Linked DNA regions of Elephas maximus indicus. The protein of the gene in region 2 purifies or fractionates together with the protein of the main gene of each other region. This does not show direct contact. Links are inferred from orthologs where the notes say so. Each region holds a gene or a part of one and is shown on either strand. Other genes may lie near its edges. The genes, in order: ARPC1A, ACTR2, CORO1C and CHURC1.

Region 1 (7,411 bases), on a different chromosome or scaffold from region 2:
ATCCCCAGAAGTACACACTGGTTAGTATCTTCTGAACTTGGAAAAGTTTACGTAAGCTTTACACTCTTGGCCCTCCTCCTCCAGGGCTTCATTCAAGATATTCACACCAGTGGGGTTTTCAGTTCCTGGTTTAGAGTCAGTCTTCAGGACTGTGATTCATCCTGTTTCTAATTGCTCTCATTGCCCAACCTGGCAACACCAGGCACTCTTACCAGGCCACCCCACCCTCCCTGGTGCTCACCGAGACAGGCTGTAATGCCAGCACTGCCTCACTGGCAGACCCCTTTAAACTTCTTTATAAAGAACAACCATTTCTGCATAGGATTAGATAACTGGATCAAAATATTGTCACTCCCCCTCCAAAGCAGGAGTTTTAATTTTCTGAGATAATTCCCTCCTTTAATTGCGAGTTGTTGTTGTTAGGTGCCAAGGAGCTGGTTCCAACTCATACTGACCCTATGCACAACAGAACGAAACATTGCCCATTGCTGTGCCATCCTCATGATCCCAGATGCTTGAGACCGTTGTTGCAGCCATCGTGTCAATCTAGTTGAGGGTCTTTCTCTTTTTCGCTGACCCTCAACTTTACTAAGCATGGGACTGGCCCCTCCTAATAACACGTCCAAAGCGAGACAAAGTCTAACCATCCTTACTTCTATGGAGCATTCTGGCTGTACTTCTTCCAAGACAGATTTGTTTGTTCTTTTGACAGCCCATGGTGTATTCAACATTCTTCACCAACACCATAATTCAAGGGTGTCCATTCTTCTTCAGGTTTCCTTATTCATTGCCCAGCTTTCGCATGCATATAAGGTGACTGAAAACACCATGGCTTGGGTCAGGCCCACCTTAGTCCTTAAAGTGACATCTTTGCTTTTTAATTGTGAGTAGTAGATGAATTAACTCCTGAAGGACTCTGAGTACTTTGTGGTAAGAGGTGGCCAATAGTTAAACACACTCCTTAGTGGGCCAAAAACACCTTCCTGACTGCTATCCTCTCTTTTGTTTTTAGACACCTGAAAAATCCACAGCAAGCCTGGGTGGCACAAAAATTTAAGTGTTCGACTGCTAGCCAAAGGTTGGCAGTTCGAACCGACCCAGAAGCACCTGGCGATCTGCTTCTACAAGGTCACATCCTTGAAAACCCTATGGAGCAGTTCTACTCTGCACACATGTGGTCACCAGGAGTCAGAATCAACTCGATGGCAACTAATAACAATCACCTGAAACCGAAAGGTTGAATAAAACTGAGAGAAGAACCAAGGAGAGAAGAACCAAGATAATTTAGGAAATTTAGGCAATGAGTTGAAATGGAAGTAGGTTAGAATCTCCTTCAGGTTCCAAAGTCACAGTATGAGAGCAGGTGGCTTTATAATCAAAGATTCTAAGCTACCATTTATTCAGTGCCTAGCTATTATGCTGAACAGGTTTCAGCGGAGCCTCCAGACTAAGACTACAAAGAAAGGCCTTGTGATCTACTTCCAAAAATCAGCCAATGAAAACCTTACGGATCACAACAGTTGGATCAGCAGCTGATCATGAGCATGGCGCACGACTGGGCAGCGTTTTGTTCAGTTGTGCCTAGGGTGACCGTGAGTCGGGCCTTCTCCATGGCAGCTAACAAGAAGTCATGTTCCTAGCAGAGGAGTAGGTACCTGGTTGGGGCCAAAAAGCCTAAAGCCAAACTTGTTGCTGTTGATTCCGACTCGTATAAAAAAAAATCTGGCATCTTCCTGGCCCTTAAGGTCTGGGAAAGGGGGTGAGGAAGAGAAGATAAATATGCATAGAATACCCAGGAGCAGTAATAACCCATAATGGTTACTGAGCACCTATTCTGGTCCAGGAGCAACTGTGAGCAATTTATGCAAATAAACTCATATGATACTCAGAAAAATTCTGAGACTTGGTTACCAAAATTATTGTCCTATTGCAAAAGGGAACAGAGACAGAGAAGCAATCTTCCGATGGTCGCCCAATAAACAAAGCGGGTTTAGAACACTGGCAGTCCGACTGGGTGGTTGGAATGTGGAAGGTGCTACATCAAAGGTTCCGCTAAGCAAGTGTTGTTGTTAGGTGCTCTCAGTCAATTCGGACCCTATGTGACGGAAAAGGAGTGCAGAAACAAACAAAAAAACAAACTGGTTGTCCTGGAGTGGATTCTGACTCATGGCGACCCCATGTGCTACAGAAAAGAACTGCTTCATTGGGCTTTCTTGGGTGTAATTTACAGGATCGCTATGAATCGGAATCTACTCCATGGCAGTAGGCTTGTTTTTGTTTTTTCAAATTTTTAGGGAAGCAGATCTCCAGGTCTTTCTTCCTCCGTACCATGGGGGCGGGCTCGAACTACCAACCTTTAGGTCAAGAGCAAATGTGCAAGAGGAGATCGGAGGAGGGTGCAATTGAGACTTTAAGGAAGGCAGCACTGGAGGGGAGGAATCTTAAGGATCTGGGGTGGGGAGTACATTTTTCTAGAGTTCAGGCGGATCCCCCAATAACTGAAAGATTGAGTGCTGCCCTAGACAGGTGCCACGGGTGCCTACTGTGTGCCGCGACCCATTCTAGTCGCTAGAGAAAGAAATTAATGGTCCCTGTGACGCCCCGGTTAGAGCGACATTATCCCACTTCTCCCAATTTTACTGCGATAAATGCCTACAATAGAGATGCAAATAGGGGCTTGGGGGTGCAGAGGAAGCCGTTAATTCTCGCATTGGAGGCGGCCTGATGTCTTGAGGAAAGCGATCTGTACGTGTGGGGACCCCAAAGACTCGGGGGGACCCTGGAGAACGGGGCCCGGGGCTGGAGACCCGGGCCGCCCCCCAGCCTCGGGGCCCCACGGCCTAAGCCCCCGTCTCGCCGCCCCCGCGGGCTGTAGCCCGGCACCGCGGAGGCCGCCAGCGCCTGAAGCTCCCCCGCTGCCCCTTACCTGGGATCGGGGCAGTCCGGTCCGGCTCGGAGCGGCGAATTCGCGGACTCTGGTCAGTCGACGCGAACAGGCTCCGGCGGGCGCGGGCGGAGGCCGGAGGCCGGGAGGGAGCGGCTGACAGATTCCGGAAGTGGCTACGGCGCCTGCGCAGCGCGGCCGGCCGGGGGTGGGGGAGGTCCGCGCACGCGCACAGCCCAGGCGTTGGGTCGGGGCGCCGGCCGGATGTGGCGGCGGAGCGCGGAGACCCTCAGCCGCCGCGCCACCAAAGGGCATGCGAGTCTCCTTTTCTTGAAAAACTTGCCCAGAATCTCAGGCCGAAGTGCGGAGCCGTGGCGTTTTCACAAGGGCCCTTGTCACACGGTGAATTCTTCAGCGTTGGAGCGTCTCGAGCCCTTTGCACCTTCCAGCGGATACGCTTCTGTCACTTCAGAGAGACGGTCAGAGGGGCGACCGGTGCTCGGCTCCCTGCGGTTCTCTGCCGGCCCCAGGCCGCCTCCGAGCGCTTCCAGTGCCGTTAGCAGCGCCCTGCCCTCGGTCGGGCCGCCTCTGCCATGTTCCCTCCCCGGGAACCTTCTGGAACCTTCTCTACCCTTCCTCCGTCAGAATCACTTGCTTCTTACGCCCAAGGTGCCTCCAAAAAAAAAAAAAAAAAAAGGAGTTGGTGGAATTTAACAACCCGAAAAAAGAAAAAAAAAGTACGTGAAGACACTGTTTCCTTTGCAGGTGAAGCTTCAGAGAAATGCCCTGAACCCCACTTCCAACTAGATTGCTGCCTTCGAACCCATAGAAATTATGGAGCAACCCTCCTGCCTTGGGTGCCACTACGGGTCAACAGCCAAAAACCAAAACCCGTTGCCAACCCATAGGACCCCGTGCGTTACAGAGTAGAATTTCCTGGGGTTTTCTTGGCTGTAATCTTTGACGATGCTGATCGCCAGGCCTTCTGTGGCACTGCTGGGTGGGTTCAAACCACCAACTTTTAGTTTAGTAGTTGAGTGCCTATGTCGTCCCCTTTGGTGGTTTCCATTCTTGAGCCCAACGCTGGATTGTGTGAACTCCCAGTTTCATAGCCACACTGCGTTCTTTCAGGTTAGTTAATGCAGCTATTCATGTAGCACTAATGAACTGGAAGGAATTGGTTTTACTCTGTCCCATGGCTGCAAAGTCTTTGGTTGTAGGGGGAACAAGGTCAGGTAGGGTAGAGATGCAAAAAGGTTAAGTTAATAACCCCACTAAGAGACAACCTATTGGCAAAGGAAGGACAGCATGGATGGAAAGCAAAATCCCTTATGGCCTGAAGTTACAGGAGGCAGTTCCCAACTTAGGTAGAGCCAGTAAAACCAAACCTGTTGCCTCGAATTGATTTTGACTCATGGTGACCCCGTGTGCTTCAGAGTAGAACTGTGATCCACAGGGTTTTCTTGGTAGTAATTTTTACAGAAGCAGGTTGCCAGGTCTTTTCTTCTGCGGTGCTGCCAAATGGATTAGAACTGCCAGTGTTTCAATTAGTAAACCAAAAAAAAAAGACCAGACCCATTGCTGTCAAGTCGATTCCAACTCATAGCTGCCTATAGCGATTAGTAGCTAAGTACAAACCATTTGTACCACCAGGAATCTTGTAGAGTTGGTTGTTGTGTGCTGAGTCGGTTTTGACTCGTAGCAACCCCTTGTGAGAGAGCAGAACTGCCCCATAGGGTCTCCTAGGCTGTAATCTTTATAGGAGCAGATCACCAGGTCTTTTTCCCATGAAACTGCTGGGTGGGTTTGAACCACCAGCCTTACATTTAGCAGCCAAACATTAGACCACTTAAATGCTGTGCCTCCAGGGCTCTTTGGTAGAGTTGGTACCCAGAGTTAAAATACCAATAGTATTTTATCTGGATCACAGCTATATGAAGGACAGTTTCTTCTTTTAAGAAGTTTATAATCTGGACGAGGTCCTTGGGTGGCACAAACAGTTTGCATTTAACTACTAACCTAAAGGTTTGTGGTTTGAACCCACCCAGCAGTGCCTTGTAAGAAAGGACTGGCAATCTTCTTCCCTAAAGATTACAGCCAAGAAAACCCTATGGAGCAGTTCTACTCTGTAACAACATGGGGTGGTCATGAGTTGGAATCAACTCAATGGCGGTGGGTTTGCTTTTTTTTGTTATAATATGGAGAAATAAGAATAACACATGCAAATTAACAATATCAGATTTTATATGAGAAATGATAAAAGAAATAACTTAGTTTCCCTCAAATGATAAGCACATTTAATAGTAATCTCTGGTTCTGCTTTTAAATCAGCATTTTGCATTTTAGTGTAAACAAAGCTTACGATTTGGTGTATTTTATTTCATGTCTTATGAGTCATTCCAGACTGAAAGGAGCCTTTAAGTTAAGCCAAGTTATTATGTAATTGAGGAAACGGGACCAGGGGTTTTAAAAACTTGAAGGTTTCGATATAAATCAGTGACAGGGCTGGCGTTTTGATGCCTAGTCCATTATACCATGAAGCTGGGCGTAAAAGCTATTGGATTTCCAAAGAAGGAGGTTTTTTTTTTAATAATTTTTATTGTGCTTTAAGCAAATCAAGTCAGTCTCTCACACAAAAACCCATATACACCTTGCTACACACTCCCAATTACTCTCCCCTTGATGAGACAGCCTGCTCTCTCCCTCCACTCTCTTTGTGTCCTTTTCGCCAGCTTCTAACCCCCTCCACCCTCTCATCTCCCCTCCAGGCAGGAGATGCCAGCATAGTCTCAAGTGTCCACCTGATCCAAGAAGCTCCCTCCTCACCAGCATCCCTCGCCAACCCATTGTCCAGTCCAATCCATGTCTGAAGAGTTGGCTTTGGGAATGGTTCCTGTCCTGGGGCAACAGAAGGTCTGGGGGCCATGACCACCGGGGTCCTTCCAGTCTCAAGTCAGACCATTAAGTCTGGTCTTATGAGAATTTGGGGTCTGCTTATCCCACTGCTCTCCTGCTCCCTCAGGGGTTCTTTGTTGTGTTCCCTGTCAGGGCAGTCATCGGTTGTAGCTGGGCACCATCTAGTTCTTCTGGTCTCAGGATGATGTAGTCTCTGGTTCATGTGGCCCCTTCTGTCTCTTGGGCTCGTAATCACCTTGTGTCCTAGGTGTTCTTCATTCTCCTTTGATCCAGGTGGGTTGAGACCAATTGATGCATCTTAGATGTCTGCTTGCTAGCATTTAAGACCCCAGATGCCACTCTTCAAAGTGGGATGCAGAATGTTTTGTTAATAGATTTTATTATGCCAGTTGACTTAGATGTCCCCTGAAACCATGGTCCCCAGACCCCTGCCCCTGCTACGCTGGCCTTCAAAGCGTTCAGTTTATTCAGGAAACTTCTTTGCTTTTGGTTTAGTCCAGTTGTGTGACCTTGTCTGTATTGTGTGCTGTCTTTCCCTTCACCCAAAGTAGTTCTTATCTACTATATAATTAGTGGATACCCCTCTCCCACCCTTCCTCCTTCCCCCCCTCATAACCACAAAAGAATGTTTTCTTCTCAGTTTAAGCTATTTCTCAAGTTCTTGTAATAGTGGTCTTATACAGTATTTGTCCTTTTCACTCAGCATAATGCCTTCCAGGTTCCTCCATGTTATGAAATGTTCCACAGATTTCTCACTGTTCTTTATTGATGCGTAGTATTCCATTGTGTGAATATACCATAATTTCTTTATCCATTCATCAGTTGATGGGCACCTTGGTTGCTTCCATCTTTTTGCTATTGTAAACAGTGCTGCAGTAAACATGGGTGTGCATATATCTGTTTGTGTAAAGGCTGTTATTTCTCTAGGATATATTCCAAGGAGTGGGATTGCTGGATCATATGGTAGTTCTATTTCTAGCTTTTTAAGGAAGCGCCAAATCGATTTCCAAAGTGGTTGTACCATTTGACATTCCCACCAGCAGTGTATAAGTGTTCCAGTCTCTCCACAACCTCTCCAACGTTTATTATTTCGTGTTTTTTGGTTAATGCCAGCCTTGTTGGAGTGAGATGAAATCTCATTGTAGTTTTGATCTGCATTTCTCTAATGGCTAATGATCGTGAACATTTCCTCATATATCCGTTAGCTACCTGAATGTCTTCTTTAGTGAAGTGCCTATTCATATCTTTTGCCCATTTTTAAATTGGGTTTTTTGTCTTTTTTGCAGTTGAGTTTTTGCAGTATCATGTAGATTTTAGAGATCAGGCACTTATCAGAAATGTCATAGCTAAAAACTTTTTCCCAGTCTGTAGGTAATTTTTTTACTCTTTTGGTGAAGTCTTTGGGTGAGCATAAGTGTTTGATTTTTAGGAGCTCCCAGTTATCTAGTTTTTGTTCAGGAGTAATTTTTAATATTAGTTTTTTTTTTTTTTTAAGACTTATGTGATTTGTAATGAGGGAACAGTGGTGGGTCAGTGGTAGAATTCTCACCTTCCATGCGGGGGACCTGGGCTCGATTTCCAGCCAGCGCACCTTAAGTGCAGCCACCACCT
Region 2 (8,020 bases):
CTGTCCTACAGGGTCGCTATGAGTCGGAATCGACTCAACAGCATTGGGGGCTTTTTTTTTTATCAACCACAAATGTGTATTAAAAATGAAAATATAATTATTCTAGCATACACTACTTTGTATCACCAGATCTTATGCATTGTGCCATAACACACACAGTAGGCACCCAGGAAGTCTTCACTGTTGTTGGTGAACTCACTCACTACTGATGAAACCATCCAAGTTTGGTAACAGGATACACACAACTCTAGGGCCCAACTCTTCAAAGGCACCTAAACCTAGAGCCCCACAGGTCTCCAGAGTTTTGTCTGTCTGTCTGTTTTCAAGGGCTCTGTTCTAGCCGACAGGTTTGAACAGTTATAAGGCCAAAGCACATAAATTTTAAGTATTCCTCCTACAGCTCACCCTAATGAAACAGTGGTCTAGTTGGGGGCTGGTGAGGAAATGGAGCAGGACCAGTGTCTGGTACGTGATCATAAAAACCCATCCACTCCTAAGAGCATCCAATTTTGGGCCTGTGAGATGGGTTAAAAAAATCATCAACTTCTCAAATAGATTAGAATTTTAAAACCTCAAGTGTGTAAAGGGCAAATGACAATAATTCAGGGTAGTAGCTTTTTTTTAAAAATAATTTTTAGAAATTAAATCTGAATATCTTCTTTAATATGTAATTGTAAAGGAAACACTATGACTTCAGGCACATAAAATAAGATCAAGATGACTATTCAAGTCTAGAAGCATAAGCAGTAAGAAACAGAATACAGAATCTAAGTGGTCCTTAACCCTCCAAATTTTTAGAAATATCACAGCATTCCTGATTACATATTACCAGAGCTGTTTCTTCATTTTAAGCCAAGCGTTTATCTACAAAAAATCTGAATGAATTTCAAAAATAACCTTAACTCAACACCAAATACATACATTCTTATTTGAATTAACTACATTTTTCTCATTTATGTCATAACTGATCTTTTGTCTTAAAAAACTAGAATTTTAAATTATGGATACAAAACAAATCCATGACATATATGCAATCGGCTTTCTAATATCAGCAAAACTGACAAAATAGTAAGATAAAAACGAGCCACCTTACAGTTAACATTCATATTCTAATAGAGTATGAGAACACTAATACAGACTACAAATACAGGGTTCGTTGCCTAGAATCCCCCAAGGATGAGAAACTCCATTAAAATACAAGTTGCTCAGATTTCTAAAGAGAATATCAGACCTATTCACACAATAAAGTATTTCAGTTCAATTTAAAGTTTTAAATTTATTTAGAGGTCAGCTTGAGACTAGTGGAAATCAGACTACTTTTTTTAAAAAGCACCTTTAACTGAGTTAACTGTAAAAGTAATACATGCTTATAGTAAAAAAAAATTGTCCTCTTCCCCACTTCCCTTACTCTTATCCTGTCTCAGAGGCAACCACTATGGGCATTTCTTATGCATTCCTCCAAAAATTTTAAATATAGATACCAGTGTGTGGACGTATGAGTATCTTTAATAAAGAACGCACACATTACATGGAATCATTCTAAAGCTTTTTTTTAAAAAAACTTCAGGATACATCTCAGACATGTTTCCACAGCAGTGGGTCTGCCGTTTTTTTAAGTACTCCATTTTGCATTGATGTCCCGTTATATGGTAACTTTTTACTCTCGTCAATTTGTAACTTGGTTCAGATGAAACTAGTATAATTATTGCTTGTAAAAAAAAAAAAAAAAATCCGTAACAAATTCAATCAAGGGCAGTAGTATGGAAGTGAGTACCAGGTATTTTTCACCCTGAACAATCCAGTTTCCAAAGTGTTTATTTTAAAGTATAAGTAAAATCTATTTTAATTCATATGTCACAAAACGTTGCAACTACAAAACGGTTAGAAATCACTGTAACCTAGGGGAAAATGACCAGTATAGCACCCGTCCAAAGTAAGTAACCTTTCCATCTTCTAATTTGCTGATTGACTCCGCTGCCCAAAATACATTTTTTTTAATTATAGGAGGGCGTTTGAAAGAAATAACTTTCAAATAGTTTCTAAATCAGTGCTCTCGTCGGATTTTTACAATTGCTTGCATTTTAGGATCTTAAAGACTAAATCTGTATTCTGCACCTAAGGAAAAAAGGGGCAGAAGACCAAAACTGACTAACTCCCATCCCCCCAAGGACAGTGGAATGAACACTGCGGCCTTGTGGGGTCTTAGATGTCCCAGGATAATCCTATGGAGCACGTGGTCTCCGCCGGACTGCAAAGGGGCCAAATTACCAACATACAGAAAAAAGTAAAAAGACGAGCCTCCCCCTCCTCAAAAAAAAAAAAAAAACCTCACTGCGAAGGGGTGAGGCCCACTGCGCGCACGACAGACAGCACTTCCTTTTTTTTTTTCTTTAAACCCGTTTCCTGCCTCCCGTTCAGTATCTTCAACTATACAGGAAGAGGAAGGCCTCTTGGTCTTCCTCCTTTTTGCACACTGGCGACCCTGGGGATGAACCCATCTTGAATCCCACAAACCCTGCCTTTCACCCCTCCGGGCATCTTGGCCACATTGCCCCCGCGCGTGCACGTAGCCGGCCCCCGCCGGGCCAGCAGGTAGGGTTCCCGTCCGCCGCCGACCTCGCCCGCAGCCCTGACAGGGAGGGCTGCGGGGGTGGCCGGCTGCAGGGGTGGCGGGCTCCGGGGGCCGAGGGTTTGGCCCGCCTGCTCCCCGAGTCCGCGAAGGCGGGAAGCGTCGGGCCGCTCCCCCTTCGCCCCGGCGGGCCGGGCCCAGAGGCGAGCCCCGGGCACTAAGGGCCCCCGCGCCCCCCGCACATCCTCCGGGGCCTGTGCCCGCCACCGCCTCCCCCGCCGGCTGCTTACCCCAGTGCCGTTGTCGCACACCACCACCTTCCTGCCTTGGCTGTCCATCGTCCGCCCGGGGGAGAGCCGCCGTCGCCGCACAACCTACAGACACCGCCGCCCGGCCTTTCCTCTTCCTTCTCCTTCCTCTTCGCGGCCCCTCCCTCGGCCCAACTTTCTTCCCCAACCGGAAGTCGCCGCCCCGCCCCGCCTCGCCCCGCCCCGCCCGCCTTTTACCGGACGGCCGGCTCGGAGGAGGTGGGGCGGAGGCCGCGACTGGCAGGGACAAACTCCAATGAGAAACGGAGGAGCCGAAGGCCCCGCCCACCCCTCTGGGCTTCAGCGCCGCTGCCACGGGCACCGCCCACACAGGTTCTTCCTTTCTGCGCCCGGTTCCTGGTGTTTCTGGGGCGTTAATGGCGGCCGACCTGGTGGGTCTGTGGCCTTCTCCCGAAGGCGTCGCAGGAGCTGAGGGTGCTGCTGCACGATGCAGAAGGCGGAGGCAGGTGAAGGGCACCAGGTGTGCCGCGAGGTGGCGATGGAAGGTGGCAGAGAAGCCAGCTGGGAGGGCGGGGAGCAAACCCGAAGTCCTTGCAGACCCCGTCATTGAACGTGGCCTGGTGTGTCATTGCTTCCAGTCGAGGCCTTCTCAGTAGACAGAGCTGGGATAGATACACACACGTATTTATTCGAAATCATGGATTTATACTGATATCTCCATTTCCAGCCCAATCGTCCTTTGCCCAAGTTGCTCCACAGTAAAGAGAGCGAGAGCGAGTGCCTACGTTTCCAGCCTCCTCGCTCACCACTTCCGTCTCTCAGCAGCACCCGTGCTACTTCACACCTGCGCGGTACATGTACATGTTTGAACCAGAGCCTTGGCTTTGGAATCAGACAGCCCCAGTTTCAAATCAGCCCCTGCCAATGAAGACTTCTATGATTTGCGTGTACCCTTGTTTGTGCGTGGGGATGACATCTTCCACGGGTTGTTGTGAGGACAAAATTCTGTGCATGGACTAAGCATTCATTCAGTGGTAGCTGTTTATTAATTCCATACTTTTCAACAGTGCAGTTCTCTCTATCTGTAATGCCCCCACTTTTTTTCTCTTTTTAATCAGCTGAGAAACTTCTCGAGGAGCCCTGGTGGCACAGTGGTTAAAAGCGTTCGGCTGCTAACTGAAAGATCGGCGGTTCAAAACCCACGAGCCACTCCAGAGGAGAATGTGGCAGTCCATAAAGATTTACAGCCTCGGAAAAGCTATGGGGCAGTTCTACTCTGTCCTGCAGGGTGACTGTGAGAGAATCTTCTCCACAGCAGTGGGTTTGGCCCAACTTATCACATCAAGATATCCTCCACATGCTCTTTACTCCCTTTCTTTGCTATTACTTTAGCACGGATATATGAATAACCTCGTTGTAACCTTATTACACTGGACAAGTATTTATTGAATGAGTGACATTAACGTTTATCTAGGAAAATGACATTTTAGAGATGTGATAACTAGAATTGTACCTTCTACGTGGCTGCACAGCATGTACAACTAGAGTAGAACTTGGATCCTGAAGCCCCAGACAGTATTCTTTCTATAATACCAGTCTGCCTCCTGTTTTCACTTAGTTCTTTCATTTGTTGTTGTCGGGTGCTGTCCTAGCGACCCTATATGACAGAGTACAACAGCTCTATAGGGTTTCCTAGGCTTGAAGCCCTGGTGGTGTAGTGGTTAAGAGCTTGGCTGCTAACCAGAAAGGTTGGCAGTTCAAATGCACCAGCCTGTCCTTGGAAACACTATGGGGCATTTCTGCTCTTTCCTATGGGGTCACTATGAGTCAGAACCGAGTCAGCGTCACCTACGAACAACAACGGTCTTTACAGGAGCAGATTGCCAGGTCTTTCTCCTGCAGAGCCACTGGGTGGGTTCAAACTACCAACCTTTTGGTTAGCAGCCAAGCACATAACCATTGCACCAGCAGGGCTCCTTGTTCTTTTATTAGACCAATGATTTTCAAACTTTTAAAGGCATAGAATCCTTTATTCAAATTTATCTTATGGAACCCCAACATATCAAATAGGTAAAAAGCAAAGCTGCCATAGCTGCAGTTGGAAGATCGAGAAGTGGGAGAGGGTAGGAGGCCTCAGGGTAATATGCTCTCCCTTCACCTGCTTCAACAGCTGTTGAGGTACTTCAGCCTTCTGAACACCTTGAAAAATACTGCATTAGTTCATAAATTTCTCCAGTAGAGTCCATATCTTACTTTTATGGCCCCAGTGCCTAGCACAGTGCAGTTTTCCTGGAAGTACATTTAATTGGTCTTAGCAAATTGATCTCAAACGTTTCTGTGGTCTTTTACTTTTCCTTCTTATGGGATGAAATGGATTACTAATTTTTACTTCTTAAGAAATAACATTTATTACTTTCTTCTGATTTTAAAAACAAGTCATGCAGAATGTAGAAAATGTCAGCAAATACCTGTTGAGTACAGTATGGAAAATGCAGCAAAACCCCTTGATGATGTAGATCCAGATACAACACTATTGGTGACTGGCTCCTGCCCACCAGACAGGCACATCCTAGTCATTCCACTGACTTCTTACTAATGCGACCTCACATTTTAGGTTATTGAATTTTGGGGGCCTCATTGCCTTCTGTTTTCCTGCACAAAAACCTTGCTAGGTAGATATCCCCATTTTACAAATGGGGGAGTTGGGGCCTTTAAAAAAGTAAGGCTAGCAAGGTCTAACAATGTTCATTATTGCCTTTTAAGGTCTCACCAGAAGCATATTTAACGTCCACATTTCTAGTACATTCTGTTCATGATAGAAGCTTTCTCTGCAGTTTACACTTCTTTCTGAGCCCGCACCGGAGGTCTCTTGAAGGCACTCTGAACTTTGACTATCAGGCGTCTCAAAACTCTTCCAACCTCTACCCATCACCCAATTCCAATGCCACTCCTACTTTTTTTAGTATTTGTTACAGCAACATCCCCCTTTCTGGAACCAGAATCTGTATTAGTCTCCTAGGGCTGCTATAACAAATACCACAAATTAGGTGACTTTTAATAAGAGAAATTTACTGTTTCACAGTTCTGGATGCTAGAAGTCCAAATCAACATGTTGGTCAGGCCATGCTGTCTCCCAGGTCTTTTGGGGGAATATTCCTCCTTGTCTTTACTGACTTCTGGTAGCCCCAGATATCACTGACTTGCAGCTGCAGCATAACTCCAACTCTGCCTCTGTCATCACATAGCCATCTTTCCTCTGTCTGTCTCTGTCTCTCCTCCTCTTTTATAGGACCAAACTCAGATTGGATTAGGACCCACCCTACTTCAGTATGGTCTGATATTTAACTGATAATATTTCAAATACCCTATTTCCAAACAGGGTCACATTCACAGGTACCAGGGGTTAGGACTTCAACATAAATTATGGGAGGCATGATTCAATCCATAACAGAATGTTTTGGGCAGAATTTTAATTCCATCCAAAGATGTTCACTCATTTTACAACCTGATAGTATTACTGTAGCTATCTAATCTAGCTCTCTTATTCTGTACCTGAAAAACTCAGGAAGGGGCCATCTATGTGATTTATTTAATTGTTTGGTTTATAAGTCAGTAAACCAAAAGGCTTGTACTTATGACAGAAAAGTACTTCTTTATATTGTCAATTATCTAACTTCTTCCAAGCTATTTTTATTTATGTTGCGAAGATAAGTATTTATATTAACAAACAGTATTAAACCAAGTTAGTTGGAAGCAAGTTGTGTTCTAAAGAATTTAACCTTGCCCAAAGAGAGAGGTCTGGCCTTTGCCTTCTCTTCTGGGAGGTAATCTCTTAGCCCTAGGAATGTTGTGCCTCATAGGAGCATCTTTGTACACCTGGGGGCCTTGGACCAGCTAGATAGCATCAAAGTGATTTCCAGGGGTGCCTTTGGGTCACATAGTATTACCTCAACCTCCACCACCTCCTGAGGGACTGAAGACTGAGATCATTCATGTGGGCAGTCATTCATGTTTATATGATGGAGCTCAATTAAAAACTCTGGACACCAAGCCTCAGATGAGCTTCCCTGGTTAGCAGTACTCTGTGTGTATTGTCACAGATTTTTACCAGGAGGAGTGAATGCTGCCCACAACTCCATGGGGAGAGGACAACTGGAAACTCTGCGTTTGGAACCCGCCTGGACTCTGCTCTGTGCATGTCTTCCCTTGGCTGATTTTAATCTGTATCCTTTAGCTGTATTAAACCAACAACTGTGGGTATGGCAGCTTTCACTGAGTTCTGTGCGTCTTTCCAGTGAATCATTGAACCTGAGGGTGGTTTTGAGAACCACCGAACTCTGCAGTTGGTGTCAGAAGTGAGAGTGGCCTTGGTGGACTATGCCCTAACTTTGCAAGTAGCTAACGTCACACAAGTTAATTGATTTGAAAGTGGATTTCAGACATCATGGCATTTCAAAACTCAGAAACCAAACCCAGTGCCATCGAGTCAATTCCGACTCATAGCGACCCTATAGGACAGAGTAGAACTGCCCCATAGAGTTTCCAAGGAGCGCTTGACAGATTCGAACTGCAGACCCTTGGTTAGCAGCCGTAGCACTTAACCTCTGCGCCGCCAGGGTTTCCTCATGGCATTTCACGCCTACGTTTTTCAGCATATGCCTTTTAAGAATAAGTACAGTGTTCTACAAAACCACAGTCTTATTATCACACCTATAAAATAAATAAGCAATAATTCCATCCTATCTAATATCCAGCCCATATTCATGGCTCTCCACTTGTTCCCAAAATGCTTATAGCTGTTTCTGCCTCTGAATTGAGACCCAATCAAGGTTCATACATTGCTTTTGCCATTATGTCTCTGTAATCTTTTAATCTAGAATAGCCCTCTGATTTTTTTTTTTCAGGACACGTTTTTAAGAGTTCACACTTTTTGTCTTGTAGGAAATGTCCAGTGTGCTGTATTTGTCTGATTGTGTCCTCAAGGTTAATTACATTTTAAAGTGACATTTATAAATATTGTCGTTAAGATATTTGATAGCACTCTAGACGGTCTGGATGTTTGACGTGAACATTCTTTGCATTTGATGATATAAAATTAACATTGTAGTGACATCAGGACCAAGTGAAAGTATGATAAAAAAGTAGGGATCTGTGCTTTGGGATTTATACTTGGGAAAGTTAA
Region 3 (6,880 bases), on a different chromosome or scaffold from region 2:
TGGCTTTGGTACTGTCTGCAAGAATTACCTCTCCAACACAGAGACAAAACGAGGCACTGAAACACACAGCTGTAAGGCAAAAGTCTTGCCATTCTTCTTTCTCCGTGTATTTGATGACCTTCGTGATGGTGTCATCTGGGAGGAACTAGTGTCATGGGAAATCGTACTTCTAATTTCATCATTTAAGGAACTGGGGAGAAGGGAATCAACATGTTTTAAGCACCTACTATTTTATGGCACTGGGTTTTGGGGTTATGTGCTGGGTGGAAACCCTGGTGGCATAGTGGTTAGGAGCTACAGCTGCTAACCAAAAGGTCGGCAGTTTGAATCCACCAGGCGCTCCTCAGAAACCCTATGGGGCAGTTCTGCTCTGTCCTATAGGGTCGCTGTAAGTCAGAATCGACTCAACGGGTTTGGTTTTTGGTTTATGTGCTGGGCATAAGAGTCCTTGGGTGGTACAAATGGTACAAAGTTTGGCTGCTAACTAAAAGTTCAGAGGTTCGAGTCCACCCACGGACAACTTGAAAGAAAAGTCCAGTAATCTGCTTCTGGAAAATCAGCCACTGAAAACCCTATGGAGCACAGTTCTACTCTGACACACATAGGGTCACCATGAGTTGGAGATGACTTAATGGCAACTGGTTTGGTTTTTTTTTGGTATGTGCTGGGCATAGTGCTGGGTGCTCACCATGGGTTAACTCATTGAATCTTTAAAACCACCCCATGACTGAAGCATTTGGATGACTCCCACTTTACAGTTGAGAAGAGTAGGGTCCATAGACTAATGTGATTTACCCAAGGACACCCAACTGATAAGTGGTAGAACCTGAATTTAAATCCAGCTCTGTCAGCATCCAAAGTCCATGGCTTTTCTATTCCATCACGCTGTCATGGAGGCAGTTGAGTGTAACGACAAAGAGCGCAGTACTGCAATTAGATGGAGGCGGGTTCCGGTATTAGCTCTGCCTGGTTCAAGCTGTGTACCTTGGGCAAGTCATTTAACTTCCCAAATCTCAGTTTCTTCACCTATAAAGTGGGGATTAATAATTTTTTCTATGCCCGAGACTATGGCTCCTGGACACCCGGCTAACTCAGAACTGAAGCCACTCCTGAAGTCCACCTTTCAGCCAAAGATGAGACCAAAACCACAAAAACCAAACCCATTGCCATCGAGTCGATTCCAACTCATAGCGACCCTATAGGACAAAGTAGAACCGCCCCATAGAGTTTCCAAGGAGCGCCTGGTGGATTCGAACAGCTGACCTTTTGGTTAACAGCTATAGCTCTTAACCACTCCACACCAGGGTTTCCAAAGATCAGACAGGCCTTATAAAACAAACAATAACACACATGAGGAATGTGCTTCTTAGTTCAATCAAGTGTATGAGACCAAATAGGCAGCGCCTGCCCAAAACCAAAGATGAGAAGGCAGGAAGGGATGGGAAAACTGGAACTGCCCTTCCACACGGAGAACCCAGGGTGGAAAGGGAAAGGAGGAGAGTGCTGATACATTGTGGGGATCGCAACCAATGTCACAAAACAATTTGTGTATAAATTTTTGAATGAGAAACTAATTTGTGCTGTAAACTATCACTTAAGACACAATGAAATTAAAAAAAAAGAATTGTTTCTATGGCCATAGGATTGTTGAGGAGTTTTCAGGCAATTTTGTATGTGAAGCGCTCAGTGTAGCACCTGCTTCTATAAGTCATGAATAAATACTAACGATAATTTGTCTCTAAAGAGTAAACCAGATTGGTTCCTGGTTCAATCTCAAAGAGCTTTATTAACCCTCATTTCCCCCCAAACCAATCAGAACCCACTGCTATCAAGGCACCTCGTTTAATTAAGGATAAGAATCATAACGATAGCAAATTGTTTGCGGGTGTTAGGTCCTTTACCTCTTTATCTCATTTAAATGAAGTAAGTGTAAAATCTTGTGCAGAAAGGGGGCCCTGTTTTTTTTAATTGTACTTTAGTTGAAGCTTTACAGAACAAACGAATTTCTCATCAAACAGTACACACATCGTTCCATGACATTGGCTAACAACCCCACGACATGTCAACACTCTCCCTTCTCAACCCTGGGTTCCCTATTACAGCTTTCTTGTTCCCTTCTGCCTTTCAGTCCCTGCCCCAGGGCTGGTATGCCCCTTTAGTCTTGTTGTGTTCCATGGGCCTGTTCAGTCTTTGGCTGAAGGGTGAACTTCAGGAGTGACTTCATTACTGAGCTGAAAAGGTTTCCGGGGGCCATACTCTGTGTTTCTCCAGTCTCTGTCAGGCCAACAAGTCTGGTCTTTCTTTCTGAGTTAGAATTTTGTTCTACATTTTTCTCCAGCTCTGTCCAGGACCCTCTATGGTAAGCCCTGTCAGAGCAGTCAGTGGTGGTAGCTGGGCACCATGTAGTTTTACTGGACTCAGTCTGGTGAATGAGGCCCTGTTTTTTTGCAGTGGCTACTTGAAGGCAAAGTGAAAGCCACCTCTCCATAACAGCAACAGTAGCAACAGGTACCATTTCTGGTGGGCTTTCCCAAGCCAGGCACAAAGATGATCTCATGGAATTCTTTCCACAATCTTGCAAGGGAGGGACTGCTATTACCCACCCCACCCCCCCATTTTTACAGATAAAGAAATTGAGGAGAGGATAAGTAATTTGCTGTGAAAGTGATTGGTAGACGTTTTGGTTTAGGTGGACACATGTCCCTCCGAGGCTGATGTTTAAAATGAGAGTCCCAGTGTCAATGGCAAACATGCCTGGATTTGGGAAGTAAATAGCCCTAACTCTCAGCAGTTGTTTTGTCAGTTCCGTTCCTCTTGCCCAACTTTCCCAAACCTGAAAGGGACTCTGGCTATTGACAGACAACTTCCTCAAGCTAAATATTAGGAAAGGGCCCTGGTGGTGCAGTGGTTAAGCGCTTGGCTGAGAGGTGAAGGGAACTGCCCCAGGTCACACAGTCTGACAGGTGCAGAGCTACGACTGGAACCAGCTGAATTTCAGGCCAGAGCAGACAAAGTGAAGGACTTTGGCCAGGGAAAGGAAGGGAGGGAGCCTGGAACCTCTGTTTTCTCACCTGCGAAACGTGGTCAATAACAGAACCTCCTGTGTAACTGTGGGGGGTTAGGTGTGTGTGGCCCAGCCCAGGGGCTGCCAATCTGTACTAGGAATGTGGGAGTGGGAGGTGGAGGGAGGGCTGGAACTTTGGCTGGAGGGTGTGAAGGGAGCAGGGGCGGAGCTTCTGAAGCCAGAGGCGGGGCTTCTAGAATTCGGGGCAGAGGTCGGGACTCTGGGATGTCGCGAATAGAATTCCGGATTTGTGGGCGGGGCTTCTGGAAATCGGGGTGGGGAAACGGTGTTTAGTGGCGCCCACGAGTGAGTTCTAAGGCCATGGGCAAGAAGTCGGGTTAGGGAGCCAAGAAGCTGGCTTAAGGGTTTTTGATGTGCAGCGGGCGGGGCTCAGAGAAGCTGATGTTCGGGTTTTAAGGGACTGTGGGTGAATCCTTGCGGGGCCGGAGGGTCCTGGCCCTTCACAGCCTCGCGGACCGATGTGCGGAGCTGTAAGAAGCCTGCGTCGGCTTCTTTGAAGCAATGGGCGTGGCTCGGAGGAGCTTGTGGGCGTGGCCCTGCGGCCTCTTCGATGACTGGTGGGCGGTGCTTACGCTTGGACACCGCCTTCCTCCGGGCCCCACCTACATCCCTCGGCGCGACCAGAGGTGGCGCTAGCGGGCGCGGGGCGAGGGGTGGGAAGCGGGCTTCCCCTCCCGGAAGTGGGCGGGGCCCGCCCCAGTTTGGCGGCCCTGGTTGGGCGCGATGCGGCGCGGGGGCGGGGTCTGAGAGCGGCAGCAGCGGCGGCTGCCCGCGCCCCTCCCCCGCGCGGCGCTTAGTGCCAGGCGGAGGCGGCAGCGGTTAGAGGCTTCGCCCGGCTTTGCAGCGGGGACTTCGGCGGCGGCGGCGCCTCAGGCACCTCGGCCCTGGTGAGCGGCGCGCGCCCGGTGGGGCCGCTCGGGAGCGAGCCGGGCACGGGAACCGGTCCTCGCAGCATGTGCCGGTGCCGGCTGACAGGAGTCGGCGGGGCGTGGGGCAGGGCCCAGTGGAGGGGAGCGGACTGGGGTCCGCGCGTGGAGCGCGGATAGTCGGATCGGGGTCCGCCCCGGCCGATGTGCAGGGGTTAGGGCCGGGGGCTGCTGCGGGAGGCTGGGGATCTGGATGAGGGGAGGTTTGGGGAGAGAACGACTTGGCCTGGGGAGAATGGGCCCGGGTCCGTGTGGGGAGGGGGCCGCTCAGGGGAGGCTTTTAGGGGTTCAGGACCTTCTTGGCCGAGGGAGGGGTGGGGGCTAGTGCGGAGGGGGCTGCCCGAGGGAGGTTTCAGAGGAGTCCGAGACCCCCCTCGATGGGTGAAGTGCTTGGTGAGGAGGGGCCGCTTGCAGCTGGGGAGCAGGGCCCCGAGGCGCCAGGCCTGGGGGCGGGGTTTGAGCCGCCCTAGGGAGCGAATGGGTGGGGGTGGGTAGGGACCGGGCTCGTGTGGGGCCGGCGCGAGGGTGGCCCCCGGGTTTTGGGGGTCGCCGGGCTCTGGGTGCAAGATCAGCTTTGAGCCCTGAAGGTCTGGGGTAGGGGCCCGGGAAGGGCGGGGCAGGGCTGGAGCTGGAGTAATATGGGTGGGGGCGGTTTGGGAGGAGGCAGAGCCGGACCGAGGGATCCGAGGGCTGGGGCTGGCGGGGTGGAGGGGGCGGGGGCGGGGGCAAGAGGAAGACCGGAGCAGGGTCGCTGCAGAGTGGGGGGTCTGGGGCGGAGAGTGAACGGGGAGATCCAGGGATGTGCTCCCCTCTTAGTGGGGCAGCTGGAGGGAGTAATCAAAAGGAGCGGGGGGCAGGTGGGGCTCCGCAGCGCCCCAGTGACTGAGCATGAGGTCAGATGTTGAGGGTGAAAATGCAGGAACCGAGCCCTCCCGCCGTCCACACCGGCGCAGGCACACCACCAGCTCTCTGTCTCTCCAGTGATTTGAATGTGTAGGGGGAAGCCGCAGGCTGCGGGGAGCGAGCGGAGAAGAAAGGGGCTTCCTCTTAGAGGGAGGCACAGGCCCTGCGGTCCTTTTTTGGGAGTGTTCAAAGGGTTTTCAGCGCTGGAAAAGGAAATGTAGGCTTTAACTGCATCATGGTTTAGGATCACACCCTATATTTGGCCTTAATGTAGGCTGCCCTTGTTTTGTGGTGTCTGAAGTGCTTGCTCTACGTGTTGCAAACGTGGGATTCACAGTGAGAAGCAAATTGCAAGTTGTTCATCTACAGGATAGCCTTTCTTTCCCATAAGACATTTTAAAGGAATCGAATTTAGTGCGTGTTTTTAAACTGGTACTGGGTGGCACATATATTGACTTTTGGAAATAGTTATCACAGAATACTAGATCCTCTTAGCACAACCAACCTTCCTGCCTGGGCTTACGTTCTAAAACAGTGCTTGTAGGGCTCTTAGTCACTCTATATAATAATGCATCTCATTGTCCTTATCTGGCAGAAATCCCTCCTGACACCAGGGCCTGCTGGAATAGACAGGAACATGGTTAAGTGTAAGCAGTGGCTAATACATGTCTGTTTAATATTGATTCACTCTCTTCATTCCCTACAAAACTGAAGAAAGCCCCTTTTGGACATGAGCCTGTACATTTAAGAAGGCTGATTTACGGAAACATTTATTTGGCGTGGAGATATGTTCCAGTCATAATGTTAGGATATGAAGCCTAATAGTAAGCACTGGAGCTGAGCAATTGCATAAATTGATAGGGAAGAAAAAAGTGAATTAATACAGAGAAATATACAGTACATTAGACCCTGAAGTACACTATTTTGTGGTAGGTGATAGTCACGTACACTGAGGATTGAACAAAGGTGGGTCATACAAGCCAGGAACACACCTTTTTTCATAAATCCAAAATGTGCCTTGTCTGTGTTTGTTCTTGAGTTCATGTTAACGGTACATTAAAGCCTAATGAATTTTAATAGACACATGCTAGTGAAGGAGCTCTGGTGGCGCAGTGGTTAAGTGCTCGGCTGCTAACAGAAAGGTCAGCAGTTCAAACACACCAGCTGCTCTGTGAGAGAAAGATGTGGCAGCCTGCTTCAGTAAAGGTTACAGCCTTGGAAACCCTATGGGGCAGTTCTGCTCTATCGTATAGGGTTGCTATGAGTTAGAATCAACTCAGTGGCAATGGGTTTGCTTTTTTTTTGGTGGGGGGAGGACATGCCAGTGAAATATCACTGCACACGGTATGGAATTTTTCATGATCATTTATTACTTTGCCTATAGATGACACTAATCAGCATTTATGTCTTTTACTGTCTGTGTAGTTTAGGATTAGATGCAGGATTGGCAAATATTTTTTAAACACTGTTGGATTTTTTAAATTTAAACTGTAGGCTTAACGCATCTGTCACTTCTGGGATCTGCTCCAACCATGAGGAGCAGAGTTGCTCTAATGCCTGTGAAATGGAATGTCCAAAAGGATAAATGATTAGTTTTTAGTTATTATATGCCTGGGAATGTGAAAGCTTCAATTCTCATGATTGCAAAATATTTGTTTCTTAATATTTTACTTTGTCACAAACTGCTGCTTTAGAAACAGGTATTGTTAGTTAGGCTGTTTACCTTTGACCTCTTTTGTGGGTGGAGCAATAATAAATTTGGGTACCACTTTTCATATTCAGGGCGCAAAATCATGTGATAAAAACTCTTAAGCTTATTTTCCGTTTGATACCTTCCTTTCCCTGAGTTCCGAAAACTCTTTTTCTGACACTTCTGGGAAAGTCCTTTTTAACTTAAGATGCCTTTTCTGTATTAAAACAGGAAAACCTCATGAATATTTCAGTATGACCTAGTACCTAGAATGTT
Region 4 (7,678 bases), on a different chromosome or scaffold from region 2:
CTGAAAGCTCAATAAAAATTATTAAAAAAAAAAATTACCCAAGCTTCTTGATTCCTATGAATTTTGTACCTGAATAACCTTAAAGTAAACCCTCCCTCTGCTGGGCCATTCTGCAAGACAAAACAGGAGCCTCTTGACTTCCTTTTCCTCTCTCCCTCAGTTCCTCTAAAAATTCCAAATGCCTTAATCTCTCAAAGTCAATACACAGAGTATAAAACAAAAGTCTGCTCTGAGTCTGACTATATCCTTGGGGTATGTATTAGAAAAGAACAAACATACACACAATAAAATGAAAGCATACCTAAAACCCAGTTATATTTTCATTAGTAAATCCATTCAATCTATGTAAAATTTGCGAGATAATACTCCTCCAAAGGCTGCTACATCAGATTTTGGCATATATTGCGAAGTTTTTATATGGAACAAATCATCTGTATCTGAGAAGAAAGTGAGGAGCGCTGAGGAAAAGGATTGAAAGGGAAACAGTGGCGATTCCCTTGCTTTTATTTATTTATTTCTAAATATTTTATTGTGTTTTTGGTGAAAGTTTACACAGCAAATTAGGCTCCCACTTAACAATTTCTGCACATATTGGTCAGTGATGTTGGTTACATTTTCCACACTGTGTCCACGTTCTCCTTATTTCTGTTCTGGTTGTTCCGTTTCCATTAATCTAGCTTCTCTGCCCTCCCTGATCTTCTCATCTTTGCTTTAGGGTACGTTTTGAGTGTTTGACCTCATTTTTTTTTTTTAAGGGACACTGTACTTATGGGTGATATTGTTTATTTTATGAGCCAATCTGTTATTGAGCTGAAAGGTGACCTCTGGGAATGGTTTCAGTTCAAAATTTAAAGGATATCTCAGTCCCTTGCTTTTAAATGCCATGTGTTTGAAAAGCTGATGCTTATAATCTGAAGAGGAAACTTTCTTAGGTTATAATCTGAAGAAGGGAAGTAGCCCAAAGTGGGCTAGGGAAACTCTGTCGTTATTGTCCTTGCTGTTGTTAATTGCCCTCCCTAAAAGGGAAGAAAGTCCAACTCAGCCACCAAACTAATAAAAGCTGCTGACCCTGAAACTTTCGATGCTCTGGTAACTGCCCTCAGGCCAGGCTAGCCTCTGTTCACTGTGTTCACCTAGAATCATGCTAACTCATTCAACACAGGCAGGTGATACCAGGTAAAGACAACCAAAGACTCTTATTTCACACTTTCCTTGAGACAATGGAAAGAATAACACACACCTTCACCAAGCCTACTTAGAGATGAGCTTTCCTCCACCAGTGAAATTGGCCTGACAGTGGCACCATAAAGGCTTCTGGGTGCTTCCTCATCCCTTTAAACAAAGGACTAGCCCATGACTAGGCATCATAAAAGAGAAAAGGTATAAAAGAAAGAGGGTGTTAAAAGGGGATTCAAATGGCACTTTTAAAGGAATGTAGTTTAGAGCATGTAATTGAGGCAACAAGTAGGGCCATTTAACGTTTAGATTTTCCTCAATTGATTCTTTTTACCAAGAGGCAATCTCATGCATGAACTGCAACATATGGCTATATTTGATACACGTCGTTGACATCACACGATGAAAATTCTGTTAGAAGGTAATCCTAAAATGGTATCTGGAAACTTTATATAATTCCTTATAAGAGAAAAGAAATGAGAATTATTATTAGCATTAGTTTTTTGCATTTTTTATTTTATATAATTCCTTATAAAAGCAAAGAGAATTAGTAGTAGTAGTATTTTAGGTTCTTAAAAATTATTTTATGTTCATTCCTTCTGAGTGCTAATAGTAACATCTATTTCCCCTTCTTCCATCTTTCAACCTGAGATACTTTCATATTTCTGTTACTACAATCACACTAATTTCTAGTGTTGTTCACTCCCTTTCTCCAGGCTCACTTGCTTTCTCCCCTCTGTGTGGCCAGATTTGAATGGTGGACTTCACTGGATAGATAACCAGTAGCTGTTGAACTTTTGTGGTAGTTGTGAACTCTTATGCCTATGAATAAGAGGAATTTTTTATTTACTTGCTTATTTTAATAAAAAAAAATATGATATCACTCTGGGAAAGTTAAAAAAAAAAGACCCTCACAAATATGTAGATTGCCTTTCATGCCTCAGAACATAAAATAGATGTACAAAAGGACATGCTGTTTGAGATTTGAGACTGCACTGTAATTTTTATTTTATTTTAAATTTTTTTGTTATACATGGTCTGTATTAGTTGTGAGGCAGAAAGCTATACATCTCCCCCTTGTGGTACCTGTTAGTGTCTGCCTTTTACATCTTCAATTTCTTCTTGCTCTGATCCCATGAGTTGACTGGCTCTGATCAGTCCCAACAAAAGGCTGATAAATGATCCTCCTAAACCACAACTCTGATACCACTCTCCTGCTCAAACCTTCACTGACTTCCTAGAACCTACAGAATAAAATCCAAACTCCTTGGCATGGTCCACTTGAAATTCCCATACTAAAAATCTCTGATTTTTTAATTCCTCTACATCTTTCCAGGTCCAAATTTCCCTTTCCCAACCCCTCACCTGGAAGTATTCTCTCCATTTTGTGCTTTAATACCACAAATTGTCAGTAATTTTAGGAGTTTGTGCTCATTTTATCTCTCGGGCTCTACTGTGAGCTAATGTAAGGTAGGAAAGGAAGGAAAATGTCTTTTTCATCTTCCTGTTGCCCGCAGTTCCCTAAGCACTGAAGGTACTCAACAAATGTCTACAGAATTGAGTAAAATAGATACCATGGTTAAGAAAAATAAAACTTGGCATTAGACTTTAAAAAGAGAGGAAGTATTTAAAAATGGATCACAAGGGAGAATTGTACAGACATGCAATATCCAATAGAAATATAATCTGAGCCATATATGTAATTTAAAATTTTCTAGTAGCTACACTGGTGTTCCTGGATGGTGCACATGGTTAATGTGCTCAGCTGCTAACCTTATTTCCTTGATTGTCTCATCTGAAAAGAGAAGACACACTTTTCTTTCTCATTGTTTAGGGTTATAATAAGGATAAAATTAGAAACTGAAATGAGGACACTTTGAAAGCTTGAAAATGTCATAGGTATGGGAAGTGTTATGATTATTCCAAGTAAAATGAACTCTGAGGGCACTAGCTCATGCTCTTAGCATGCCTCTGATTTCTAGTAACAGCTGCAGACCATTCCCAGAGACCAAAATGCTAAATGTTACAATTCCAATCTGACAGTGGAGATATAATCACCATATTAGCAAACCCAATTAAACTAGTTTGCTTTGAAATGGTTATTAATCTCTTCTTTAAAGAATCTGGATGCCAGAGTTTCATATGCTCCCCCATATCTTCACTGACCTGACTGCAATAAAGCAGGGTTAAGGAAGGATACTGCTATTCTCATTAAATATCTCTGTTGGAATAGCTGGATATGATGAGGACAGGTTGTTCAGAAGTGCAAAGTGGATTTTGGAGATTAGTATTCAGGTTAATTATGTCATTGTGAATAATAAAGAGGGAAAAGAAGAGCCAAGGTACCAATGGAAAGTATTTTAAAATCTCGAAATTGGTATTGTTGCTGTTAGCTGCCATGGGATTTGCCCCGACTCATGGGGACCCCATGCCCAACGGAACAAAATGCTGCCCAGTCCTGCACTATCCCCACCATGGCTGTGATTCGTGGGACTTTCATTGGCTAATTTTCAGAAGTAGATTGCCAGGACTTTCTTCCTAGTCCATCTTAGTCTGGAAGCTCCGCTGAAACCTTGTTCAGCATCATAGCAACACGCAAGCCCCTACTGACAAACAGGTAGTGGCTGCTCTTGAGGTGCATTGACAGGGAATCAAATCAAGTCTCCCATCATGGAAGGCAAGAATTCTATCATTGAAGCACCGCTGCTCTCTTTGAAATCAATCATTGAGAAGTGATGCCGGGATAATTGACCTGGACGTTTTCTGTTTACATAGTGGCACATTGATTAAAGCGATGGACTGCTAACCGAAGGTTTGGCTGTTCGTAACCACCAGCGGCTCGCAAAAGAAGAGATTTACAGCCTTGGAAATACTATGGGGTTGCTACGAGTCAAAATCAACTCGACGACAGTTTTGTTTTGTTTTGTTATAGTGCCTGCCTGCCTCTGAGGTGCTTCTGTGTCACGGAGATAGAAACATGTTTTCCAAAGCTATGTTCTTTCTCCAAATGACTCTGAGATGGTCATTTATTATTAACATTTTAAGTGTTCTTTTGAGATTTTCAGCAGATCTCTAAATGCCTCTTTCCCAAACACTTCAGTTGTTGCTTATTCATCTCTTACCACTCTCGCTTCCCTAAGAAATGGTGCAGGAAAGTATTTAAATTATTAGGTCAGTGTGATATATGGAGTAAGCCGAGGCAGAAAAAGACAATTCTCTTTCCTGTGTATTGTGATTTGTCTGTCAACCTAAGACCAGAAAGGCACCTATTAGAACTTTGCTCAGTCCAAGATCACGTCCCCTTCCCGTCCCCTCAGCTAGTCGGCTCTCCCAAATATCCGACATCCTACTATGAATCGGAATCGACTCTACGGCAAAGGGTTTGGCTTGGTTTTGGTACCCTGAGCCCACCGTTGTTGCCCGGGAGACCAGGCCCTGCCCTAACAACAGTTGCTAAGGGCGGAGACTTCGACTCCGTTCCCGGGACCAACCCCCTCAAGGTCGACTGCTTGGAGCGCATGCGACAATCTTCTCCTAGCTCTCGCGAGGTTTCGTCTTCACGGAGACGCTGGAGGACCTTCCGTGTTAGCGGCGTCGCGATGTGTGGCGACTGTGTGGAGAAGGAGTATCCCAACCGGGTGAGCGAGTGGACGTCGAGAACTTCCCGCCCCCGCGGCCCATGGCTGGCCCTTGAGGCTTCTCGTACCCCCGCCAGCCTTCCCTGAAAGGCAGGCGCGGGGCACACTGAGCCGCAGTGCCCGGGCCAGTGACCCGGTAGCTTTCTTCAGGCCCGTGACACGGGACGGCCTGTGGCCGTCTCTTCTCTCTGGTCCCCGCATTGGTGATTGATTTTAGCTGACACCCCCTTCTTTTGAGCTCTAGCGGACAACAGAGGGACGCTCACCCATCCTGGGCTCATTCTCGAGCTCGGTTTGACGAAGTTCAGTTTTCTTACCGAATTCTAGTCCTGGAAGGGACCTCTGAGTTAAAATCTGTTCTAATCTAATTTTGTAGATGAAGAAACGCTCAGAGGAGCAGAAATGACTTTAGTTCACATTCTAGTTAGTCTGAAGGCAGGACGAGAATTAAGATTTCCAGCTGTTACTTCACCCAGCAGTCCACCTTGTAACTTTTTTATTCCTTTTAGACTCAGGAGGTTGCAAAACTTGTCTTTCTCATTCATTCAGTGTATACTTATCCAGCATTTATATGTCTGTAGCTAGATTTCTTTGTTAGGCCAGAAAGGGACACCAAAGGAGATAAAAGAAAGGCAAGACCTGCCCTGTGTAAGAGTTGGGGGAAAGCGTGTGATTAATCAAAAAATGAGTGCCACATAAATGCTCATCAAGTTTAGAGAAAGGGGAGAGCAGTCGGAGGTAGCGCTTTTATCCACCTAATTGAAGGTGGACTTCGATTAAGACTTAATAGTTGTGATTAGGGTAGAAGAGAAGGAAAGGATGTGTCGAGGCTGTGGAAAATAATAACGAGGATTCTTGCATTGGTTGGGAGGTAGAAAATACCTAGTTGCTTCTGTATCTTAGATTTTTGTGAGTAATACCAAAGTCTTTTCAGAACGATACAACAGCAGGAACTCTCATATAGTCCAGCCACTTTGGAAAAAGGTTTAGCATTATCAAATGAAGTTAAAGATGTGCATATTGAGTGACCCAGCAGTTCCCCTTCTAAAGAAATTCATGGACATCTGCCCCGGGAGACATGTATAAGTGTTCAAAAGGCATTAGTTGTAGTAGACTGGAGAAATAACAGCGATATGTTTATAGAATAGAACACTGAATGAATGAGCAATGAAAGTGAATTAGACCATGGCTCTCAACTGGGGGTGCTTTTGCCTTCCAGGGGACATTTAGCAATGTCTGGAGACATTTTTGGTTGTCACATTTTGGGGGTGGAGTACTGCTGGCATCTAGCGACTAGAGGTTAGGGATGTTGCTAAAGATCCTACAGTGTACAGGACAGCCCCCTACAACAAAGAATTATCCAACTCAAAATGTCAACAGTGCCAAGGTTGAGAAACCCTGAATTAGAACAATGAAAATGAACAACCTAAAGTTACACAACAACCTGAATAAGCTGTAGAAATACAATGTTGATGAAAGAATACATAAAGTATAATTCAAAGCAGGCAAAACTAAAATACATTATTTAAGGATATATACACATGGAGTCACCGTGAGTCAAAATTGATGGCAACTTGCTTTCTGATAACTAGGTGGTAAAACTCTAAAGAAAGCAAACAGTTATAAAGTAATCGTGGTTACTGCTAAGGGGCAATAATGATCAAGGGAATGATCGAGAAGGCTCACATGGGGGGAGGGCTTCTGTGGTGCAGGCAGTAATCCACAGGTGTTGAGTTTATAATATGCTGTGCATTTATGTTTCATGCACCTTTCTGTATTCTTTTTTTTTTTTTTTTTAATTAAAAAGGTATTTTTGTGAATCTGATAATGAACATTGCACAATTCAGGGACCGTGAGGAAGAAGTTTTGAAGAGAGCAGATTAGATTCTTGAGAGTGGAGCTAGTTCAAAGACTTAAAAATGAGATTGAGACTTTTAAATTTTATGCTATAGACACTGGGGATAGGGGCAATTATAAAAAGGAGAGCCTAGAAACACACTGAACATTTAGGGAAGCCATGGTAACAGTAGTGTAGACATAAGGTAATGAAGACCTCACTTCAAAGAAAGAATTAAAATGACTCAACCAATTTAATGTAGGAGGAAAACAATAAGGAAAAACTTTAGATGATCTTAAGGTTTTCAATTTAGGCAACTGGAAAATTGGAAGTATCATTATAGAAATTGGAGGCATATGGGAGAAAGAATCAAAATTTGGGCCCAAGTTTTCAGATTGTTTTCATAGTGTTTCATTTGAGGTACAGAATATAGCATCTAAGAAGTCAAATTAAGATACTAAATTGCAGTTTGGATGTGAGATTCAGACTGGTGTTAACAAATGAGTCTGTCAAATAAAAATGTCAAAATTGAAAGGATTTGCCCGCTGGGGAAGTAGAGAACCAGCCAGAATTAAGAATTGTGTTTCTAAGAATGAATTAATTTAGGAAAGAAAATAAAGGAAACTGTAAGAACTAAAGAGTAGAAAAACATATTGAGGTGATTGGAAAACCAGGAAAGTGCCTAGAAGCACACTTTTCTCAGATTTTATTATGTTGTAAAATAATTAAAGGGTTGTCACGAAGAAGAATTAAACTTTTCTTTGGAAATTCAGAAGGTGGATTTAGAAGTAATTAGTGGGTGGATGTTATGTTATTGTACATTTTGAGTCAGGATAAAGAACTTTCTAAAAGGTATTCAGAAATGGGATAGGTGACCCTTAAAGGAACTAAGGAAACCCTGGGGGCATAGTGGTTAAGTGCTACAGCTGCAAACCAAAAGATCGGCAGTTTGAATCCACCAGGTGCCCCTTGGAAACTCTGTGGGGCAGTCCCACTGAAAAAAACTGAGCTATCTTCCTGTTGTTGT

The links.
Region 1: the proteins of ACTR2 (region 2) and ARPC1A purify together in Homo sapiens (affinity purification with mass spectrometry; 9 studies listed by BioGRID and IntAct, counting the BioPlex papers as one, with this or other methods). This does not show direct contact. The link is inferred for Elephas maximus indicus from reciprocal best matches to the Homo sapiens genes ACTR2 and ARPC1A.
Region 3: the proteins of ACTR2 (region 2) and CORO1C fractionate together in Homo sapiens (co-fractionation; 3 studies listed by BioGRID and IntAct, with this or other methods). This does not show direct contact. The link is inferred for Elephas maximus indicus from reciprocal best matches to the Homo sapiens genes ACTR2 and CORO1C.
Region 4: the proteins of ACTR2 (region 2) and CHURC1 purify together in Homo sapiens (affinity purification with mass spectrometry; 4 studies listed by BioGRID and IntAct, with this or other methods). This does not show direct contact. The link is inferred for Elephas maximus indicus from reciprocal best matches to the Homo sapiens genes ACTR2 and CHURC1.

Annotation. Positions count from the first base shown.
Region 1 is NC_064830.1:102,789,011-102,796,421, reverse strand, and holds the start of ARPC1A (actin-related protein 2/3 complex subunit 1A), read right to left. Parts: upstream 3,018-7,411; 5' UTR 2,927-3,017; intron 1-2,926. UniProt on the Homo sapiens protein: Probably functions as a component of the Arp2/3 complex which is involved in regulation of actin polymerization and together with an activating nucleation-promoting factor (NPF) mediates the formation of branched actin networks.
Region 2 is NC_064835.1:71,461,555-71,469,574, forward strand, and holds the start of ACTR2 (actin-related protein 2), read right to left. Parts: upstream 3,004-8,020; 5' UTR 2,908-3,003; coding exon 2,860-2,907; intron 1-2,859. UniProt on the Homo sapiens protein: ATP-binding component of the Arp2/3 complex, a multiprotein complex that mediates actin polymerization upon stimulation by nucleation-promoting factor (NPF).
Region 3 is NC_064840.1:19,274,563-19,281,442, reverse strand, and holds the start of CORO1C (coronin-1C), read left to right. Parts: upstream 1-3,862; 5' UTR 3,863-3,972; intron 3,973-6,880. UniProt on the Homo sapiens protein: Plays a role in directed cell migration by regulating the activation and subcellular location of RAC1. Increases the presence of activated RAC1 at the leading edge of migrating cells.
Region 4 is NC_064828.1:77,215,472-77,223,149, forward strand, and holds the start of CHURC1 (protein Churchill), read left to right. Parts: upstream 1-4,675; 5' UTR 4,676-4,694; coding exon 4,695-4,814; intron 4,815-7,678. UniProt on the Homo sapiens protein: Transcriptional activator that mediates FGF signaling during neural development. Plays a role in the regulation of cell movement.